Schizosaccharomyces pombe: one gene and its partner. Changing the gene in region 2 together with the main gene of any one other region gives a genetic interaction. Each region holds a gene or a part of one and is shown on either strand. Other genes may lie near its edges.

Region 1 (4,199 bases), 4.2 Mb from region 2:
AATATTACCGAACTATAACTAAACTAAATTCAAATGATGTAGAAATACGAAATTTTGTTATTACTGAATATTTTCTTTATTTTGTTTATATTTTATTTTATTTTGTTTTGTTTTGTTTTGTTTCCTTTTAATTTTCCTTCCTTTTTATTGGAAAAAAAAAAAGAAAACAAAACAAAATAAATATCTTGGAATGCATAATTGTACATCGTTACTAACAATATTCGCTAGGTGAAAGTGTTCAATTCTCTCCACTTGTCGAAAACAAGATCGCTGTTGCAGCTGTCACCCATTATGGATTAGGCGGAAGCGGACGTCTTTATATTCATGATGTTACGCCAAAAGGAATTCAAGTTTGCCAACAGTAAGTAATTGTGCGATTACTGCTCTTCATTATTAGACTTTTGCACAAAACACTTTTAACCATTAGTTATTATGATGAAAACAGTCTCTAAATCCTACGAAATGAAATTTATCTAACGTTAAATACTAGCTATGATGTCGAGGATTCTTTGTTTGGTGTGCGCTGGTCTCAGAATTGTGAAAATCAAGTCTACGCTTGCTGTGGTGATGGTTCTTTGAGACTATTTGATTTGACTATGCCCTCTAAGCCCATCCATAAATGGAAAGAGCATAAAGCGGAGATTGTCGCAATAGACACAAATACGGTTGATCGAAGAATTGTAGTTACGGGCTCCTGGGATGGGACTATCAAATTATGGTTAGGCAATTTGCCTAACAGTGTGCAGACGCTCAACAATGGTTCGAATTCAAGGATTCTTACAGTTGCTACACATTATAGCTCTCCAAATTTACTCGGGTATACATCAAGTGATGGATTATGCAAATTTTGGGATTTCCGGTCTTCCGATAAATTTATGTCCATTGAAATACCGAATCAAATTACTTGCATGAATTGGAGCAAGTCTAATCATCGTATGGTTTACACGGCCGACAATAACAATCTGGTTTACTGTTACGATATCGCGAATTTAAAGACGCCTCTGTCCGTATTGTCTGGTCACCAACTTGCTGTTCGAAGTATAAAATCGTCCAATTCCGCCCATGATCTTTTGGCTACAGCAAGTTACGATATGACTTCTCGAATTTTTGACCCGGAACAGCACTCTTGCATAAGAAAAGTTGATTTGCATTCTGAATTTGTCCGTGATGTTGATTGGAGTGATTTCGGCGATGGATCTTGGATTGCAAGTGTTGGTTGGGACGAATCTTTGTATATATGGAACGCATTTTAAGTTGCTGCTGTTTTTAATTTAAGATTTTATTACACTGATTCAAAGACGAAATGTTCGAACGCTCGGAATAAATTCGTTGTGCACATGTTCACCTTGGATTATATCACCAGAAAACAGCGATTACAAATTATTTTTACGATAGTTTAGGTAGCTCAAGTGAAAAATTTAGTAACTAGAGTAATTATAATATGATTTTTGGCATTTGGCATAAAATGAGAAAGGGTTGTTTGCAATGCCTACAAAAATTTCTTTTTTTTGTAACTACTATTGCGTAGCTTTGACTTGTATATTAATGCGCTATTGTTTAGGAAATATAAAGCGACTCAAAGTGCTTTACCTTCCTTTGTACTGACCACCTGGTAATTTCCTCCATGATCCACCACCAGTAACGTTTATTTATTAATGTTCATCAAGAGATCCGATTACGCCTCTGCTTACTTGAAAATTAAAGAAGCAAGTGTATCTGGTGGATGCACAGTTCAGCTCTTTGTTGCTTTAGACCCAGACGCGCTTTGTGCATGCAAGCTATTGTCCACACTTTTGAAAGGCGATTTTATTTCACATAAAATTAGGCCTGTATCGGGCTATCGAGACCTTGAACAAGCAAATAAAACTTTGCTAGAGCAAAATGAAGATATCAAATTCATTATACTTTTGAATTGTGGAACGATGGTGGATCTAAATAATTATCTTGTTTCTATGGAAGACGTATCTATCTATGTAATTGATTCTCATAGGCCGCATAATCTAAATAATATATACATTGAAAACAATATTTTTGTTTTCGACGATGGAGATATTGAAGAAGACATGAATAAAATTCATGATGCTTGGTATGCATTTAATTCGCATGAGCTATCAGATGAAGAAAATTCCGATTCCAGTAATGAGCGAGAGGAGGAAGTCGAAGATGACAACCGATCTGTGGAATCTTACAGCTCATCCGATTATCAAGCACGAAGTCGTAGGCGTTTTTCAGAGGAAACGACGCAACGTCGAGCTGAAATTAAGGAGAAAAGGAAAAAACGGAAAGAGTTCGCCTCTATCCTTTCTGAATATTATGAGAAAGGAAGTTGGTACGGCGAGTCAATTACCAATATCCTGTTTGCAGTAGCATCCATGCTTGGACGTGAGGATAATGACATGTTGTGGTTAGCGATTGTTGGGCTCACCTGCTTGGAAATTCACTGCCAATCCTCAAAAAAATACTTCAATAGGTCCTATTCTTTATTGAAAGATGAAGTCAATCGCTTGAACCCTTCACCACTTGAAAATCAAATAGTCGGTCGCGCACATGGTAAGACACCCCATGATCAGTCAATTCGGCTTGAAGATGAATTTCGTTTTATGCTAGTAAGACATTGGAGTCTTTATGATTCTATGCTTCATTCTGCTTACGTTGGTTCGAGACTTCACATTTGGAGCGAGGAAGGACGCAAACGACTACATAAGCTTCTTGCAAAAATGGGACTCAGTCTGGTGGAGTGTAAACAAACTTATATTCACATGAACATGGATTTAAAAAAAACTTTGAAAAGTAGTCTTAAAAGATTTGCACCGTTTTATGGTTTAGACGATGTGATATTCCATAGTTTTACTCGGACTTATGGATTCAAATGTACACTTAGTGCAAGTGACGTTTCTTATGCTATCAGTGCATTATTAGAAATGGGTAATACAGGTGTTTTGCTTCAAAGCAAAACTGTCGCTCGAAGCCCGGATATGACGGAGGAAGAATATTTGGAGAAGTTTGAAAATGCTCAAAATCAAGAATGGTTGCACAATTTTTATGATGCATACGACGCCTTGGACGATGTCGATTCATTAGAAAGAGCATTGAAGTTAGCAATGCACTTACAAAGAGCCATTGTTCGTACTGGAATCACCTTACTTGAAAAAAGAGCCATTAAAACGTTGAGATCTTTTCGTTTTGGACTTATCAACGAAGGACCAGATCTGAAAATATTTATGCATCCCCTTGCGTTAACAAAGATGAGTCTTTGGATTGCTGAAGCTATTAATGTAAGTGTCTATTGATTTTAACGTTTGACTAACACTTGAAGGAGCAAGAACGAGAATTTGGAAAGCTTAGACATCTTCCTCTTGTTTTAGCAGCTTTTGTAGAGGAAAAAAATAGGTACTTAATAGTTGGAACTTCTACTTCCGCTTTTACTAGCAATGAAGATGACGATGATGACGACGGTCATGGACACAATCGTTTTGGAGTTGCATTTCAAGAGGTTGCAAACATGACATCTGCTACTTTGCAAATGGACTGTTTTGAAGCAAGTGTGATTGAGTGTCAAAAAAGTGACCTCGGGGTTTTTTTAGAAAGTCTGTCCTTCAAAACACTATTATAAAGATTGGGTAAATAATGGGAATTTTGCTAATAAAGAAAATATTAATTCATCTAATTAAAATTACACGTAAATAAGTATGGATATCAACTGATGTAAGAACTATTTTCCACACCAGCAATTGTTTGGCCGTTCAGATTGTATACAAATGTGTTTTAAATTTGGTACAGCGATTGAGAGCTTCCTAAATACTTCATTACGAACCACGTTTAAATCACCGTCTATGCTCACCTGAATATGGAGTATTCCATACACTTCACCTCTTTCGTTTGTCCAGAACTTAGGGTTGGATAAACTGATAACGGAGTTACTTAAACTGATGTTCGACAAACACTGCTTCAATAAATATTCCGATTCTGGATCAGTCACAGAGAGCAAATTCTTCGCCGAATCTTTAATTAATGGAAGTACAGAAACAAATATTAATGCAGCAATTATTAGAGATGCCAAAGGATCAAAACCGGTCCATGAAAACCACTGTATTAATATAGTAGAGACAATAACTCCAACAGAGCCCATAGTATCTGCGATAATATGCAGAAATATGCCATGCATATTATGATTTTCATGGTGATGATGACAGTGATGA
Region 2 (3,494 bases):
CATGAGCCCTCAGGAACCATGGGGAAACCAAGGCGCTCAAATTCTTTGTCCTTGAAAGCACGTTGGGAAGAGCGCTCAATGGTAATTTGAAATCCAGCATCGGCGAGTATCTTGGCAGTTCTAGGAGTCAAAGCACTGCGCTCTTCTAAAGGTTTGGTTTCAGCACGTAACCAAAGATGAGGAGCAACCATTTTGGAACAGAAAATTAATTAAATATATATTTTTAAATCGAAAAAGTATTTCAACGTTTTTAAAAACTTCCCTTTCTAAGTTAGTCAAAAAAATTTAAACTAACAAAATGAAGACGTGGCGAAGGAGACCAAAAACTTAATCAAATAAGTTTATATACTGCAAATTGGCAAAATAATATAGATCAATCTCGATATAAATGAGATCAAATTTGATGCGGTCAATTTACAGATCAGCAATGATATGAGCAGAAGGGATCTTGATGGATCTAATACGCTACACAGGTTCAGTGGCAGTCACGTTAGCTACCTATCCTAGGCACAATTCACTTGATTTTTACTAGTATGCTTTTAAATAATGAATAATTTTAAAGAAAATGATGAAAAAAGCACTTTTGGTCAGTATGCGGAACTAGATAAAATACTCGACTTGAAAAAAGGGATTCCTGAGGATCCGTGTAGTTTACAGTATTACTTTGACCAAATGGCCATGTGTTTAACAGTGTTCTCACAAATGAATCATTACTATCGTTATGGTGAATACAACAGATGTAAGGGAAATTTTAAAGACTTTAAATGGTGTCTGTCAACCAAGTCGAAGGCTCACGAAGAGGCTCAAGAAGGGCTTCGTAAGCGGCGTCTTCAGCAGTGGATGAAGTTTAGGCAAGGGCCGAATAGTGAAGACATTTGGAAGATGCGTACTTCTCCAAAAAGTAGTGAATAAGTTTTTAACGTTTCGTGCTGTGTTCACCAAACGTCGATATCAATTCTTACGAAGGCATCCATTTGTTGCGTATAACATTGGGGGAATAGCATATTTGATGATGTCTTGGATGTAAAGTTCCTGTATATCCTAGTCTGCTTAACCTTTGAAACTAATTGTTTATAGTTGGCGGGGTACTTCTATTTAATTTACCTTCCAAGTAAACTCTGAGTTCTCTTTAATTTTATGAGTAACTAATTAAACGAACAACAAATTGTTGCTTTGATTTTACAACATTGTTTGGCAGCAGGTTGATTATTTACTCAGGTAAAGATTGCTGATAAACTCGAAGGTGTTGACATCTAAAGTATGGATTAAAGCGTATATGACTTGATGAACCTGTTGATGAAACTTGGCGAATAACTTATGAAATTTGGCCTATGTCGGTGTTAAAACCTTTTTGCATTTGGAAATGACATACTAAATAATTAATACGCAAAATAATTTTGAATACAATGCAATCATGTTTTGTAGATTACGGACTAAAAATCATTTAAAAAAATCAGTTTTACGGAAAGATTGTGTAAATTTTGATCGCATAATGAGCAAGTTTCATAAATAGGTATAACATTCAAACAAGCATATGCGTTTCTTTAATGAAACTATAGAACAAAGTTTCCTTTTTTTAATAAAATTTTTCGACCAATTTCAGAAGGACGAATATACACATGTATGACATACTTTTCGAGTTAAACATTGAAGCAAATTTTTAGTACTCGAACATACAATATTTATCAGCACTAATTTTTTGAACTAGATGCTCTGTTAAGAAAAGTAAAAATAAATCTTTTTTATCTCTATTTTTTTTGTTGATTAGTACTGGTGTAATTACAGTTCATTATTTATCCACTATATCTTAGCCAACTCAAATTTGAATTTATCGTTGCATCTACCTACTTTTACCTTGTAACTGCAACTTTTCTAAATGAACATATTTTGATAAAATAACAATAACACTTCTATCATTCCTTCTGCTCAGACATTAAAAAAATGGATTACTATGATATTGATAGTATCTTGTCTGAAAATCAAAAGGTTCCATGTACTAGTACAGTTTCCATTCCAGGACTAGGCCATGAAGGGCGTATGGTTAGTGAAGTTTATAAAAATAGAACTTGACTTTCTAAACAGTTTAGGTTCCTACGGGCTCTAAAGTTGAACTTCCTTTTTGGCTGGCAGAGGTTTTAGCAATTAAGTAAGTAAAGTTTTTTTTTTTTTTTGGTTTTTTCTGCATGTTACATTATATACATGTAATGTCTTATAGAAAATTGGATAATTTTGCTTATTTGCTTACTTTATAGTTCTTTTGTTAGTATTCATATGCCAGCACCATTTTCTTCTGTAGTACGAAATGCATTAAAGGCGAATCCTAATAGTGTATCTATTCGGGACATAACCACACATTATTACCATTTTGCCGAGAAAATGCTCCATTTGTAAGTCAAACTTTACACGTTTTTCTCAAATTCAAAATCTTACTAACTCATTGTAGAATATCAGACGACAGCTTGGTTCAAATTTCCCTAAACACTTTACGTTCCAGAGCAATGCTGATTGCAGATGCGTCCCTGAATCCTCAAGGTGCTTTACAACAAAACTCACAATTCATTGAGGGTTTGGATGACTTTGAGAAACACAGTATGTTCATTCTAGCCTTTAAAAGATTCAGTAGCTAACAAAAGCTCGTGCTGCCACAGTATTGAGAGTATCACATAATGCCCATCGATCCCTAATAAACTGGCAAAATTCCACTTCGTAGTTGATTGCATGCTGCGAGACGAAATTGCTACCCAGAATAGCACGCTAATCTATATGTGAAACACTAAATGAGTGTTGATCGTAAATCCCTTCTGTTCAAAGAAAAAAGAAAAGAATCCTTAACATATACTTGTTCAATATTACGTTTACTTACAAAATTAGCTTTTGTTTGTCAGATTGACATTTTCATTTATGATTAACTTTATAAAAACTCTAGAAGATTCAAACTATAGAACTAAAAAATGTTAATAAACGAACCGACACTAAAAATTAGAGGTCGATATATAAAGTACATTCAGAAAAAGCGCCTTGTCACAGGCAATCTTCGTCAATGTAGAAACTACGTAGACCGTCGTGATTAAAGTAAAAACATCATGTGAACTAAAATTCGACCTCAAGCTGATCTACTTACCTATACAAAACAGCCTCCTTAACTTCAGTGTATCTAACTAGTTTAAGGTCTTGCAAATACGTTAGAAAAGTTGTTTTAACACGAAAACTTAGGACATGGAAATATATAACTTTAGGTTGTCTATAATCAGACGCATTTCACTTCTTCAAAACCAATGGCATCAGACATATGCTTGTCTTTGAAATTTAATAAATCATCCTAATAATACCCTAAAGTACATATTTGAAGTCTAGTTTTCAATTAAGTTTTGGATACCTTTCATGAATAACCTATAATTATGTTAGTAAAATATTGGCATAGATTTAGGTTAAAAATTTGTTCTCTCAGTTAGCATGAATGGAATTTTAAGAGTCTTTTCTTCATATTGAATCAG

What was found. Genes that interact genetically often act in the same process or in processes that back each other up.
Region 1: mutations in psf3 (region 2) and cdc45 impair growth when combined (synthetic growth defect), as found in Schizosaccharomyces pombe (one study listed by BioGRID).

Annotation. Positions count from the first base shown.
Region 1 is NC_003424.3:4,723,148-4,727,346, forward strand, and holds cdc45 (DNA replication pre-initiation complex subunit Cdc45), read left to right. Parts: upstream 1-1,624; 5' UTR 1,625-1,655; coding exon 1,656-3,275; intron 3,276-3,316; coding exon 3,317-3,613; 3' UTR 3,614-3,699; downstream 3,700-4,199. Other genes in the region: pex7 (peroxin-7), read left to right, coding at 229-361, 491-1,253; Golgi zinc importer, CDF family, Cis4, read right to left, coding at 3,713-4,199. UniProt on the Schizosaccharomyces pombe protein: Required for initiation of chromosomal DNA replication. May have a role in regulating the MCM proteins nda1 and nda4.
Region 2 is NC_003424.3:527,219-530,712, reverse strand, and holds psf3 (GINS complex subunit Psf3), read left to right. Parts: upstream 1-1,836; 5' UTR 1,837-1,941; coding exon 1,942-2,040; intron 2,041-2,087; coding exon 2,088-2,146; intron 2,147-2,171; exon of another isoform or gene 2,172-2,252; coding exon 2,253-2,387; exon of another isoform or gene 2,388-2,443; coding exon 2,444-2,589; exon of another isoform or gene 2,590-2,648; coding exon 2,649-2,710; 3' UTR 2,711-2,931; downstream 2,932-3,494. Other genes in the region: saccharopine dehydrogenase Lys3, read right to left, coding at 1-191; SPOM_SPAC227.17C (uncharacterized protein), read left to right, coding at 547-912. UniProt on the Schizosaccharomyces pombe protein: The GINS complex plays an essential role in the initiation of DNA replication.